Caenorhabditis elegans: one gene and its partner. The protein of the gene in region 1 purifies or fractionates together with the protein of each later gene. This does not show direct contact. Each region holds a gene or a part of one and is shown in the gene's direction. Other genes may lie near its edges.

Region 1 (8,039 bases):
TAACGAATTCAATCAAAAAAGGTAGGCGGAGTCCTGGAAGCTTGTGATATAAAATATAAGGAGCTCTAGCTGTTTGACCCAATTCACTTGACGTAGTAATCTATTGTTTTTCAGTTTTCACCACCGCCTATAATATAAATCCAATAAAATTTGAATTATCTACAGTAATCTCCTTACACGATTAGATTGATTTTCCTTTTATTCTATACTATTTTCATAGCTTATTTACTTATAGTTAGACATTTTTTCTGTGATAGTTGGTTTCATAAAGCTGTGAGCTAGGAAATTCTTCCGATCCTTATTAATCAATATAAATAACTTTCCTAATTCTTTAAAATCTTTAAATTTTCCAGTGGCCAAATGTCTCACAACTCGATGATCTATCTTCTGGTCGCATTCCTTGTGTTGCTCTGCGCCACCACCGAAGCAAAAAAGGAGTGCTCCATTGATTGTCAGGAAGATGGTTCGGCAGCCGTCGACTTGGGACTGGTGCTCCCTCCGGAGCTCTATGAGTCGACTCGTCTTTCCAATCTTCTTGCCAGACCTTCGTCACAGTTCAAAAGTGAGTGTATTTTGTTTCCATACGGGGGGAGACTTTTCTCCGTCCTTCTACTTTTTTGGTGAGAGACAATGGTTATTGAATTAGTGTTAGTATGGTAATTGCCTCTAAAAAATTGGTCAGTTCTAAGAGATAAGAACAATTTATCCAAAGAACCTTAAACTTTAGCACCCGTCTGGACATCTATTTTCTAAGTTTTTTTGAAGACTTATTAAGAAACTTATCAACAGTGAAATGAATGTCAACAATTGCACAATATTTTTTTAAAGTTGAACAAGTTTTAATAAAACCAATGGCAGGAGATAATGAGATGTTGAAGTGGTGTAGTATTTTGAAATTATTAATTTTCTCTTAAAAACTCAGCCAAAATATTGGAACTTTAAGATCCGTTGCCAGCTGTCATTTGAGAAAAATCTTTCCGTATTAGCTTGATGAATGAAACTTTTCTAAGGACTCAAAGATTGCATAGAGCTGGAAAATCTAATCACTTTGAATCGAAACTTAATTTAATAGAAATCTACGTAAAAATTGTTTTTGGTGAGCTAATGTAGTCGTTAAAACCAAAAAGGTTAAAATTCATAAAAGCCAAAAGTTGGAAAAACAAATTATCAAATAATTTCTCAAAACCCCTCAAATTTTTTGATCTAACATATTATTCCAAGCTGAATCCTATTTTCCCCCAATTTCCTTATTTTCGCGCAATGTCCAATCAAGATATGTCAATGTCCCAGGTAAATCAAATTAATATTCATTTACGAGTAATAACCCTAACAATTCTATTTTCAAGTCTATCAAACCAAAAAGTGTTTTCCAGTGAAACGAGATTATGATTTTGTTCGATTTGGAAGAGCTGCTCCAATCAAGAAGGCATCGTACGACTACATCCGTTTCGGTCGGAAATGATCTCAATTCATCCATATTCACGCGGCGCCTTCATAGACATTCCACTTTTCACCAAAAAACTAGAACAACATCTCATTTATTTTCATTATTTACTTCTTTAATTCCATCTGAATAATAATTGTCATTTATGTGATACACCACGATATATTTATGAATCATGTTGTGTGCTGATTGCTTCCAATAATAAACCGGCCTTGACACGTTAACCTTGCAATTTTTAGTTTTATTTGTTTTTGCAAAACGTTGTTGATTGTATTTCCTGGATGAACATAATTTTTTATGGCAAAAAGTGCTTGAAAGCTTTGCTTTTTGCATCAACTTCTTGCTCAAGATCGAAAACGTTGGGCAAGACTTTCCTCTTATTTTTTCAGAAATATTTCAAAAAAATCACAAAAATGATATGTTTTGGCATGAAATACCAAAAGTGTACCGCTTATGCAGAATCTTTGGAAGCTCACCGCAAGCTCAGCTCGGAAATTTTGCAGCTTAAAATTCACAATTAAAAGCTTTCAAATTACAAATATCTCGTTTAAATTTCAAACTTCCTGTGGAACCCTCAGAACCTTCTAGTTCGGCAACGCCCAGGTTTCATCAAAGTTTTGTTATACTCAAGTTACTCAAGTTTCATTTTTCATTAATTAAAAATTATTTAAAAAATTAATGACCTTTACGACATTGACTAAGAATATCTGAGTTTTGTTCCCAATGCTACTGAATTCTATTGACTACTGTAGGTGAGAGAAATGAGAAGGAGAAGCAGGTGGAATTGAACAAAGTCATGACGAAGAGATTTTCAGCTGTTCCACTTTTCAGAAAATCGATCGAAGGCGGTTTTGGATGTTTGGATGAAATAATGTTTGATATAATAGGAAAGGGAAGTACAATGTGGGATTGAACGGGAAATATAAATGATCAGTTGCAATAGAATTAAATTTTTTAGACAATGTCAAAATATTGAAACAACTTTTCATAAAATGAATCTGCAAAACTGCTTGATTGCACTGAATTTCAGTTTAAAAAAATTTCAAGTCTCTTCAGATATGCAACACTTTTTTTTACTGTGAAATATGTTTTGTTTTGAGCTTTACAACTCACTATCAAGTCGCTGCACAAAATACTAATGGAATTTTTAAACTGAAACTTGATTTTTTTTGGCAATTTTTAAGATTAATATAAAGCCTTTTTGAACTCATTGTCTCTATTTCAAAGATTGATTAATAAAAATGCCTTTTTTTTGGAGTCAAACCGACTTTTAGTAGTCTTGAATTTTTCAAACGAGATCAGAAAGTGATTCATTTGTAGTTAACATGTCTTCTTCGCAGCAAACATCATTCTTGTATGCTCTTCGGAGCACAGTTTGATGACGACATCAGTCACGATGTCCGAGAAATGATAAGGAATATATGGGAATTATAGAAGGTGTTACTAGACAAGAAAAAGATAAGATCATCTAACCAAACAGCGGTTACAATAAAAGGTTATTTATTGAATGGGTGTCTGTTCAGCTGCCACGTCAGCAGTATTGATTGAGTTGGTACTGGTCATCTGTCATTTATCTAATATTTCAATTTTTTAAGTTTGTCGTACTGAATTTTCGAGTGTTCAGGGAGCCTCATTATTTAACTGTAACTTTAATTTTTTATTGTGATTTGTTTAAGAAACTGTGCTTGAAATATAATTCAAGAAAATAATTGTGTCTGGTATTTTCATTTATGAGGAATATATCGGAACTTTGAGCACTGGCAATGTTCATAAAACATTTTATTGAAATTTATTTTCTTTTTCATTCTCGGCGACGACTGAGACCATTTATCATTTTCAAAAGAACAGGAAAAGGCTTTGTCTATCTTAAAATCTAGTTTATCAGCACGTGACTCTCAACTCACAGCCTCTTCTCTGAAAATAGAAAAGTACAACTTCTCCTCTCGCTGAAAAGTGGCTAAAATAAGTGACAGAACTAAAAATTTCATCTTTGGTACCAAAACATTTAATCGTCTTATGTCCTGAGTTTTTAACACCTATATAAAAAATTATCGTTCTCAATACTCTGCATTTCTTTCGTTTTTTCTTCTTCTTTTTCTGAAATATTATTGCAGATGATTCGTCAAATTATCTTGATAGTTTCACTTATTGGGATATCAAATGCCGCGTACCAATGCAAGGATAATAATGGAAGTAATGTAGATTGGTGAGTTACAAGGGAATATATGAGTTTTGGGCTGAGTTTGGCAACTTTTGTAGAGAAAAAAAAAGTTACAGTATTTTCACTAGTGGTATTGCATGTAAAACGCTTGATCGACTTGTAGGGTGTCAAGAGGCTCCAGGACTAATTTTTGAATGCTTCATATTGTTTTGGAAAAGTAATCAATATTTAAAAAAAAACGCAATTTTATACCGTTTAATTAGGGGTTAATATACCAGACATCCACTTTCACAGTCTGACGTAAAGTCGGTGCAATACAATTAGGGGGCTGCATGATAAAATTTCAGCCAGCCGCTTCCAAAAGTTCTGGAATTCAATTCAAACATTTTTCTTTTCTTGTCATCAAATATTCTTGCAAACTATACTGATGACTTTTCACACTTTTCTTATCAAATTGAACGGCTAATAATATTATTAATCGGCTTATCACAAAATGAAATTCAAGAATGTCAGAACTAAACTATGAAAATTTTTATAGATGCCATGAGTTGTTTTTTCTTTCAAAAAGACATAATGCCGAAATACATAATTTTAGATAATCAATAAATTATTTTTTTTTTCAAAAAAATTGAATTTGAGGTTCGTCTTCTACAAACTTCCACATCTTTGGAATCATCCAGACAATGTACCAATTTCAAATGGAACTGGATTCTTGTATTTTGATGTCAATAATAAAAATTGGGTTTGTTTTTTTTTAATTGAAGTTTTACCAATAATAATCAATTTCAGAAACTTATGCCACAAGGAATGGATGTTGAGAATAATGCCGTATATTATACCCTCCAACAGTACTATAACTCGAATATGAATACGGTCAGATAATACTTGAACGTTGCTTTTTTTGAAAGTAAATTTTCAGACATTCAGCTACATGTACAATGACGAGTGGCCTGATAGCACAATCTGGAGTAATAGTTCAGGACATGCAAAGGGTGTTACTGTATTTGATCAATACACCGGATTCTGGATGATTCACAGTATTCCAAAGTTCCCGAGTAAAGATATGTTCCGATTCCCATCAAATGCGCATTATTATGGGCAAATGGGAATTTGTATTTCTTACAATACGGTTTCCTTGGCAACTATTGGTAATACAGTCGGTTATACAAGTTATTTTAAAGAAATATACTATTCAGCTCAACAACTCTTCTACTACAACACATTCACTTATCAGTTCAATTTGCCACAGAGTTTTGCAAACCAGTTTCCTGTTTTATCTCAATTGAAAAATAAGGAATATAACAAGGTAGGAATTTTCTTGCGCCTGACAACTATTCCGGTTTCCAAGTGATATAACATTTTATAAAATCTGTTTTCAAACAAATTTCCAAAATTGATTTTTTATCTCAAAAAAAATAATTTTTAATGTAATATTTTTGAATTCAGAGTCCACCACTCACTTCCACGAAGGTTTTGAAATCACTTGGTGGCCAACACTTCCGACATTTCGCGAAAACCGGTGAATGGGGAAAAGGTAAGAATTGATTTCTGTGACAATTCGCAAACATTGTAAGAAAATTCAGATCTCTACAGCGATTTTGTCGGTCCTACATTGAAGTCTTCGATCAAAGTTGAAACATGGAATCATCAGAGCGGAGATGAGTATAATCTCCCATCAGTTTGTGATCCCAATCATGTTCAGTCGGTAAGGAGTTTTTTTTTCATATTTTGGCATTCAAGCGTAGTTAAGTTTTCAAAATTGTTGCATTTCAGACAATGAGTGCAAAATACATTCGTCTTCCATATGCAATCGATTACTCCAGCTATGAAGATCATTCAAAGTTCGTCGTGGCATATAGTGAAAGCTCCTCAAAGCCACCAATTCCATACGTTTGTATTGGAGATATCAATCGTCAGGTATTTTAAACACATTAATTTAACAATAAGTATTGGTTGAATTTATTTTAAGAGTCATCAAATCCATCGTGGCGGTGGAACAATGTGCATCTACGATCAAGAAACATACTTCCAATTCGCAAATATCATCAGTGAAACAGTGCCTTGCACAAAAGCAACGGCTGAAAAGGTAGATGCGCTTGCCAACAATCGATATTTCTAGATATCATTTATGAATCATCATTTAATTATAATATTTATCTCTTTGTTGTCTGTCTGTATTTGTTATTCCCTTTTCCCATCCCCTAAAATACTACCTCTGAAAATTAAGTGATGGAGCAGTTGTGTTTTGAGTCATCGCAATTTTAAATATAAACTTCCGCCTAATTTTGATCAATTTTCCGGTTTGAAAAATAGCTAACTAGCTGATATTATACACAATTGAGCTGTACAAAACAAATATTAAAGTCAAAATTCTTGAGAAGCCAAACAGCGGACATATTTTCTGTAGCCTGCCGTTTGTCTATTTTTGGATATTTTATGAACCTTTTTTGTTAATTTAGAATTAGTCGAAGTTCTGAAAAACAGTTTTTTTCGGTGATAACTTTACTTTAAATTTTAAGATGCCACAAAAGTTTTTTTTAATTCAAAAAGTTTAAAAAAATGATCATGGTTGTTAGTGATATTTCAGCTCTCGCAAATCTCCTATTTGAATTATCGCGCTTTTGACAACCTTTTTTCTAATTTTTAATTAATTATATTCTCTCGAAAATTCCAAAACTCCTTTTTGAATTTTTTTGAAATTTCATGCTGAAACGTCATAGCCACGAGATTTTGGAATGCAAAGTCAAAAAAAAGGTTGAAGTTCAAAAAACGTAGTGAGTGAAGTGTCTCTCACAAGTATCATGTCAAACAATGTCTTTCCATTTATTTGTTTCAAAACACTGCGCTTTTTGATCATTTCTTTGCTTGAGCTCTCTCTTCCTGCTGATCCGTCACTTAATCTTCTTCCTCATTTCAGGCGACCCTAACAGTTCTTCTTATCGCAATTATAACCTTCTTTAAGTGATCTTGATAGCAATTTTGAAATCATAAAAACAACAATTGTGCATCCGGGAGCCATGGGATATGTGTGTAATGTAAAAACCAATAAAAAGTTTTTCAAGTACCAGATTTTTGTTCGATTATTCGTTTTTTCTCACCTGTTTCTTTTACTAAACGTCGGACTTCAACAAAAATATTAATTTCTAAATAATAACTTTAAACAGTAGATAAATAACTCTCTGACTTCACTTTTCGTGAGCTGAGACTTTCCGGAGTTGGTGCAACTTTAACTTTTCCTCCATTAAGTTTCATAGCCGCCAACTATTTGAGATTTGCCAATTTTTTTGGGGCATTTCACTATTCTTATAAGATCTGTTTTAACTACCTCAAGCATGCCTGCCTTTGCGGGGCCTTCAGAAAGTTAATCATTTTGCAATGTGCCCGACATAATCTATGTCTCTGTCTGTAGGAACGAGAAAGGCGTGAGCGGCCTTCCCCCGCCTTTCAGTCATGTATTTTTTTTACTTAGATGCCCTACAGAGATATTCAGTTACTAAAAATTTTTCGACCCACAGTGCTAAAGTTATTTCCATAAAGTATATTTCAGCATTATGTTTCGTTGGTTTCTCACGAATAATATGATTTCATTTACTTGATCTTTCGAAAATCACATATATCTCAACTTTAATTAAGTAATTTTCAGGATTTACATGATTTTTGAATTCCAAGTATTCTCAATAAACTTCTCTTCACCTGCACAATCATATGTCAGAAGACTTTCATAAGTGTCCTTTCTGAATTTCAATAAATTATAATTTTTCATGAAATATTCAATTTTTGATTAGTGAAGCGTATGGACTCCCAAATATAGACAGTTAGCATCTGTTGTAATTATTCAACCATTATTTATTTATTTTTTGCAATATGTGAATATGGATATTTGAATGAATTTAGCAAGATTTGGTTTGGTTGAGTGACCGCACGCTTCGTCCCTTTTTTATCTTTTATTCCCTCATTTCTTTTTTAGATAATAGAAGCACAATTCCACTTCATCTTTCGGATTTTTATTTACTAGATGCCATTGTTGAAAAGAAATAAGAAAATACTTTGCTCATTGTCAAAACAGTTCAGTTTCCTTTTTTCCTTACTCTCTAAGAGGGCTTAACAATTTGAAGCAATGTATTTTCTGATTTTCTGAAAGTCGCCCAAATCCTCTACTTGGTTATATATTTATTCGTTCACGTTTTAATGAAATGGCAAGAAGAAGAATCAAAGGATTTAAAAAGGACAAAACATGTGAGCGATAAGATGATCAAGTAACCGTAATATAGTTTCGAGATCAAACGTGGGGAAGAAGGTTCAGAAGTTGGCAAAGTTTGGGCAAATTTCAGGCTGGACTGGGGTGTTGAGCCCAAGTTTGATCCAAAAAAAAATTGGCGAAAATTGGGAAAAGTGTTTGCCTGCGAGCTTTCATATTCAAGCACACTTATATTT
Region 2 (7,400 bases), on another chromosome or scaffold:
TATGCGTAGTGTCGCCAACGCGTTGGGAATCGCTCGATACGATATGGCGAAAATGATGTCACAGCAGAAGAATGAGCCGCCACAGTTGTATCCGGTACGGGCTGTGGAGCACCGGAATAAGAATTTGAAATTTTTTGAAAAAAAATCTGGAAAAATTGAATAAAAAACCATAATTTTATCACCCAATTTTGCGACTTTTCCGTCAAAGTGTCAAAGTGTCTGGTCTCGACACGGCAATTTTTTATTAGTTCAGAAAAGGTGTGCGCCTTTAAAGATTACTGTAGCTTCAAACTTTCGTTTCTGCGGAATTTTTATCGATTTTTTTCTCTCGATTTGTAAACATTTTATTGTTTTTATTACTCTAATATTTCAGTTTGTTAATAAATATATTTTTATCGAAAAACTAAGAAAAATATATGAAAATTGCGTAAAAAGTTTGAAATTACAGTACTCTTTAAAGGCGCACACCTTTTTGCATTTAACAAGTTTGTCGTGTCGAGACCGGGTACCGTAGTTTTAGCAGAAATTTCTCGTTTTTTCGAATTCCTTCCAGAATCCAAAAAAAAAGAAGCCAATTCTTCAACTGAACTAGTCCTAAATTTACTTGAAATCTTTGAAAATCAGTATTTTAATGAAATTTGTATTTTTCAGAAAGTGCAACATGACCCCGTTCCACTTGAAATGACGACTGACATGCTCTACGTATCCCGTTTAAAAGTTGAACTTGATCAACGAATGCGTGATTCACAGTTCTTTATTGAAGCAGAGAAAGACGACGAAATTAAGCGTTATTTGGATAAATATTCGAATATTAAGAGGGAAAAGCTTAGCATTGGTACGGAAATCTAGGTGAAATTGTGTCTCAATTTCAGAAAAAACAAAAAAAAAATTTGAAAATTCAACTTTTTGGCTAAATGAGAAGAGCGGCCAATCAGCGATTTGCTCCGCCCATTTTTCAACCAATCAGATGGAATGGGCGGAGTTGGAAGATGCTGATTGGTCGGAGAGTTCGAGGAAATTAGCCAAAAAAAGATTGAATTTTTCTATTTTCTGTAGCGCTTTTTCTGAATTTAAGGCGATTTTTTAACCTTTTCAAATTCATAAAATCCATTTTAGATATGTCCCATATGCCGAATGAGCTCATTTGGCGCCGAGCTAGCTCGAAATCCAAGGAATCTTTGGCAAAACGACGAAAAGTCGCCAATGACGATTCGATGATCAAGGAGAAGTTGAAAAAATTGGAAGAAAAAGAAGCACAGAATAAGGATGATGATGATGACGATGAGAAGGCTGATAATGATGTAATAGATATTTTAATTTCAGATTTTTGACATTTTATATGGGACAGGGCATTTTTTAGCACTTTTTTTTCAGAAAAAATCGAAAAATAATTTTCAGAAAAATCGAAGTAAATAAGTAGAAGAAATGCACGGAAAATGACGAGAAAACTAAAAATCGAAATTTTTCGTTTTTTCGAGAAAAATAATCAAATTTTCAATAATTTCGGGTTATTCCTCATGAATTGCAAAAAAAAAATATTTTCTCATCAAAATTGGCATATCTTTTGATGAATCTAGAGTTTTCTCGTCCCTTTATTTCTGAAAATAAAATTTAATTTTAGTTGAAACATTTGGAAAACTGCTCAAAAAATGTTCGAAAGTTGGAAATTTCTAATTTTCAGACGATTTTTGAGTGGTTTTTCAATTGTTTCAACTAAAATAGGAGCTATTTTCAGATAAATCACTACATTTTAATGAAAATAATTGGAAAAAAATCATATCTTAATTTCAGAAAGACTCTGGCAGTGAAAAATCCGCGGCAGAAGAGGAGGAGAATCCATTATCAGATGATGACAATCAGGAGGAGGATAACGATTACATCTCGGCTTACTTTGATAATGGAGAAGGATATGGGGACGGCGGTAGCGATGATAATTTGGATGCCGATGATATTTAAAGAATCTCCGGACACTTTTTTTGTTGTTTTTGTTGTTTTTCTCTCAATTTTTGAATATCATTGTTAAATATATGAATTTATTTATTGATTTTCCCTTAAATTTAACCCTTTTATTCGTTATTAGCTTCAGATTTAACCAATTGGTTCAGAAAATCGGTTTTTTCAAGGAAAAAAGTGTCCAAATAATGATTACGCAATCGCGCTCCATGGACAACTAATTGAACGCACCGTTTTCCCGCCAAATTGAACGCAGCTCCGATATTTTTTATCCTTTCTTGGGGTTTTTTATAGTGAGAAACACAATTTTAAGCAAATATTTTATTGTTTTTAATCAATTTTAAACGAAAAATATATTAGAATTGTTAATTTATCGTTTCGCAATCTCATACTCATCTTATTTTCTCGAAATCTTGGAGAATATCGGGGGTTTTTCGTTTTTTACGTCAGGAAAGTGCGGCGAAATCCGTATAAATTCGGTGAAATTTCATGAATTTGACTGATATCGTTCGGTAAAACCTAAAAAACCCTATTTAATTGGAGAACAAAAAGGAAAATCGTGTTTTTTTTTCGAAATTCGCTGTAATTCGTTTCCTACCCCCGTTTTCCACTCAAAAATCCACAAACTTCCCAATTTCAGAATATTTCAGATATAAATTCACAAGGACTAACCCCACACCGCTATGGGAATTAAAGGACTCTCCCAAGTGATTGCTGATAATGCTCCCTCCGCGATTAAAGTCAACGAGATGAAGGCGTTCTTCGGAAGAACAGTACGGGAATTTTTTCCTTAGATTTGCAAAATTGAAGGTTCAAAAATTCGAAAAAATAATTTTTTAAAGCGAAAATCTCCAATTTCGTCTACTTTTCTGTGCGCCGCAGTCTGATTTTCATATTTTAAAATATTTTAGTCGTTTATCTCCTGCTATTTTGTTGATTAATGATTTATCGGTTCGACGCGATAAATCAGAAAAATTTGAAGATTTTCAGCTCTAAAATTGGCTCATTTTTACATAATTTTGAACATTTTGAAGAAATTTCCGGGTAAATGTCTTAAATTTCGACGAGTTTTGAGTCTTTACAAGCAAAAAAACAAAAAAAAATGTTTTTTTTTCAGGTAGCAATCGACGCATCAATGTGCCTCTACCAATTCCTCATTGCTGTTCGTCAAGATGGTTCCCAGCTTCAAAGTGAAGATGGAGAAACCACAAGTCACTTGATGGGAATGCTGAATCGTACGGTTCGAATGTTCGAGAACGGAGTGAAGCCTGTCTACGTTTTCGACGGAAAACCACCGGATATGAAGGGTGGAGAGCTTGAAAAACGTTCCGAGCGTCGTGCTGAAGCAGAAAAAGCGCTGACTGAGGCCAAGGAGAAGGGAGATGTTAAGGAAGCGGAGAAGTTCGAGAGAAGACTCGTAAAAGTCACAAAACAACAGAACGACGAGGCGAAGCGTTTGCTGGGATTAATGGGAATTCCAGTTGTCGAGGCTCCATGCGAGGCAGAAGCTCAGTGTGCTCATCTCGTGAAAGCTGGAAAAGTATTCGGAACTGTCACTGAGGATATGGACGCGCTGACCTTCGGCTCCACGGTTCTTCTCAGACATTTCCTGGCTCCAGTCGCCAAGAAAATCCCGATCAAGGAGTTCAATCTTTCTTTGGCTCTCGAAGAAATGAAGCTAAGCGTTGAGGAATTTATTGATTTGTGTATTCTTCTCGGCTGTGACTATTGTGGAACTATTCGAGGCGTCGGGCCTAAGAAGGCTGTTGAGCTGATCAGACAGCACAAGAATATTGAGACGATTCTTGAGAATATCGATCAAAATGTTCGTCGTTCGTAAAATGCCTATTTTATTATAAACGCGCTCCACGGCAAATAAATGCCCCGAACCATGGGTCTCGTTAGGTACTTGCCGGTGAAATCATAAATTCGAATTTTTCACTTAGTTTTGCCTTTTTTTTTAAATTAATTTTGGCATGAAAATCAATGGAAACAACTAAAAAAGCCGAAAAATTCAATAAAAAATTAGCAAATTTTGAACTTACGGTTTTGCCGCCAAATAGCTAACGAGGCCCATTATGCGTGCAAGCGTAATTTTTCGAGAAAAAAAAAATCGAATTTCCAATATTTTCCTGTCATTTTTCAATTTATTGGAGAAAAATTATTTTATTTTTCTCATCAAACTTTAAAAAAAGCTATATTGTTTCTCCTAAAGATTTATTATTGAAAAAATTATGAATTTGTTCGTTTTTCGATTTTTTCTCTGAAAAAAACTCGAAAAATTGAAAAAAAATAAATCGAAAGTTTTCAATGTTTTTTGTGAAAAAACTGACAAAAAAAAGCGGAAATTTTCAGTTTTGTCTAAAAAAATCGAAAAATTTCAATTTCCTACTAGAAAAAACCGAAAAATGGAAAATTTTCTTTTTTCTCTTAAAAAAAATCGAAAAATTTCACTTTCCTTCTAGAAAAAAACCGAAAAATCGGAATTTTTTAAACAACACTTTTGGCTCGAAAGCGGAGCCTTTTGAATTAGCAGTGGAGCGCGTTAACACATCGATTTCAAATTGGATTTTTCTGCGGATCTATAATATATCTAATTTCTAAAAAAAATTCCAGAAATACCCACCACCAGAGGATTGGCCATACAAGCGTGCTCGTGAGCTTTTCCTCAATCCAGAAGTGACAAAACCGGAAGAAGTTGAACTGACATGGAAGGAAGCCGATGTCGAAGGTGTCATTCAGTTCTTGTGCGGAGAGAAGAACTTCAAGTTTGTCCCCATGAACCTCATGAACTTCATCTAATTTTTCTTTCATTTCCAGTGAGGAGCGCATCCGAAACGCGTTGGCAAAACTGAAGACTAGCCGTAAATCTGGAACACAAGGACGAATTGACTCGTTCTTCGGAAACTCGACCAAGGTTACATGTGTGACAGCTGCGACAAAACGAAAGGCGGAGGAAGCTGAGAAGGCGAAGAAGGGAGCAAAGAAGGGTGGACCACCGAAGAAGAGAGCCAAGTAGCTCACACTAACTATTCAATTTCTTATTTGATTTTTGTGAAATATTGATTGAAACGAAATAAGGTTTTTATTTACCTTTATCCTTTTTTTAATGGAACACACAAAGCTAAGAAAACAATAAAAAATTTGGAAATTTTCAATTCCGTCAATTTGCCGATTTGCCCAACACCCATTTGCTGGAAGTTTTCAGGGTTTTTTATAAGACTGACCAATTTGGGAAATTTGAATTTTTCAATTCCGGGAATTTGACGATTTGCCGGAAAAAAATTTTGCGGCTTACCTCTGATGCATACTATTACGGGAACACTAAATTCTGAGAATGCGTATTGCACAACACATCTGACGCGCAAAATGTCTCGTAGCGAAAACTACAGTAATTCTTTAAATGATTACTGTAGCACTGTGTCGATTTACGGGATCTCGATTCTTGGCATGAATTAGTAAAATTATTATTTATGGATTGAATATTAAAATTTAGCGAAAAATGACGAAATAATACAAGAAACGGAGGAAAATTATAAATCGCTATCGATATTCAAAAAGAAATTATAAAACATTCCGAAAATCGAGCGCGTAAATCGACACAAACCGTACAGTAGTCTTTAAAAGAATTACTGTAGTTTTCGCTACGAGATATTTTGCGCGTCAAATATGTTGCGCTATCCGCATTCTTAGAATTTTGTGTTCCCGTAATAACAATACTGCGAGGTTCCTGATGGACACATCACACATTATCTGTACATTGATTTATGATGTCCCACGGGGTTCTGGCCGCTCCATTGACAATCGCCCAAAAAAATAGATTGACATACCAAAAAATAGATTGATATACCAAAAAATAGATTGACATACCAAAAAATAGATTGACATACCAAAAAATAGATTGACATACCAAAAAATAGATTGACATACCAAAAAATAGATTGACATACCAAAAAATAGATTGACATACCAAAAAATAGATTGACATACCAAAAAATAGATTGACATACCAAAAAATAGATTGACATACCAAAAAATAGATTGACATACCAAAAAATAGATTGGCATACCAAAAAATAGATTGACATACCAAAAAATAGATTGATATACCAAAAAATAGATTGATATACCAAAAAATAGATTGACATACCAAAAAATAGATTGACATACCAAAAAATAGATTGATATACCAAAAAATAGATTGACATACCAAAAAATAGATTGACATACCAAAAAATAGATTGACATACCAAAAAATAGATTGACATACCAAAAAATAGATTGACATACCAAAAAATAGATTGACATACCAAAAAATAGATTGACATACCAAAAAATAGATTGACATACCAAAAAATAGATTGACATACCAAAAAATAGATTGACATACCAAAAAATAGATTGATATACCAAAAAATAGATTGACATACCAAAAAATAGATTGACATACCAAAAAATAGATTGACATACCAAAAAATAGATTGACATACCAAAAAATAGATTGACATACCAAAAAATAGATTGGTATACCAAAAAATAGATTGATATACCAAAAAATAGATTGACATACCAAAAAATAGATTGACATACCAAAAAATAGATTGACATACCAAAAAATAGATTGACATACCAAAAAATAGATTGACATACCAAAAAATAGATTGACATACCAAAAAATAGATTGACATACCAAAAAATAGATTGACATACCAAAAAATAGATTGGTATACCAAAAAATAGATTGGCATACCAAAAAATAGATTGACATACCAAAAAATAGATTGACATACCAAAAAATAGATTGACATACCAAAAAATAGATTGACATACCAAAAAATAGATTGACATACCAAAAAATAGATTGACATACCAAAAAATAGATTGACATACCAAAAAATAGATTGACATACCAAAAAATAGATTGACATACCAAAAAATAGATTGACATACCAAAAAATAGATTGATATACCAAAAAATAGATTGACATACCAAAAAATAGATTGACATACCAAAAAATAGATTGACATACCAAAAAATAGATTGACATACCAAAAAATAGATTGACATACCAAAAAATAGATTGGTATACCAAAAAATAGATTGGCATACCAAAAAATAGATTGACATACCAAAAAATAGATTGACATACCAAAAAATAGATTGATATACCAAAAAATAGATTGACATACCAAAAAATAGATTGACATACCAAAAAATAGATTGACATACCAAAAAATAGATTGACATACCAAAAAATAGATTGACATACCAAAAAATAGATTGACATACCAAAAAATAGATTGACATACCAAAAAATAGATTGACATACCAAAAAATAGATTGACATACCAAAAAATAGATTGATATACCAAAAAATAGATTGACATACCAAAAAATAGATTGACATACCAAAAAATAGATTGACATACCAAAAAATAGATTGACA

Evidence for each region. Proteins that work in one complex are often made in the same cells at the same time.
Region 2: the proteins of crn-6 (region 1) and crn-1 purify together in Caenorhabditis elegans (affinity purification with western blotting, with the first as the bait; one study listed by BioGRID). This does not show direct contact.

What each region holds. Positions count from the first base shown.
Region 1 is NC_003281.10:9,363,715-9,371,753, forward strand, and holds crn-6 (Cell death-related nuclease 6), read left to right. Parts: upstream 1-3,556; 5' UTR 3,557-3,558; coding exon 3,559-3,650; intron 3,651-4,244; coding exon 4,245-4,347; intron 4,348-4,394; coding exon 4,395-4,478; intron 4,479-4,524; coding exon 4,525-4,753; intron 4,754-4,801; coding exon 4,802-4,911; intron 4,912-5,051; coding exon 5,052-5,139; intron 5,140-5,188; coding exon 5,189-5,310; intron 5,311-5,378; coding exon 5,379-5,522; intron 5,523-5,574; coding exon 5,575-5,691; coding exon of another isoform or gene 5,692-5,724; exon of another isoform or gene 5,725-5,886; intron 5,887-6,522; coding exon 6,523-6,570; 3' UTR 6,571-6,667; downstream 6,668-8,039. Other genes in the region: flp-25 (FMRF-Like Peptide), read left to right, coding at 361-562, 1,374-1,462. UniProt on the Caenorhabditis elegans protein: Involved in apoptotic DNA degradation.
Region 2 is NC_003279.8:3,479,394-3,486,793, forward strand, and holds crn-1 (Flap endonuclease 1), read left to right. Parts: upstream 1-2,603; 5' UTR 2,604-2,636; coding exon 2,637-2,726; intron 2,727-3,070; coding exon 3,071-3,778; intron 3,779-4,569; coding exon 4,570-4,721; intron 4,722-4,773; coding exon 4,774-4,972; 3' UTR 4,973-5,107; downstream 5,108-7,400. Other genes in the region: Y47G6A.9 (DNA-directed RNA polymerase III subunit), read left to right, coding at 1-94, 652-835, 1,117-1,301, 1,792-1,956. UniProt on the Caenorhabditis elegans protein: Structure-specific nuclease with 5'-flap endonuclease and 5'-3' exonuclease activities involved in DNA replication and repair.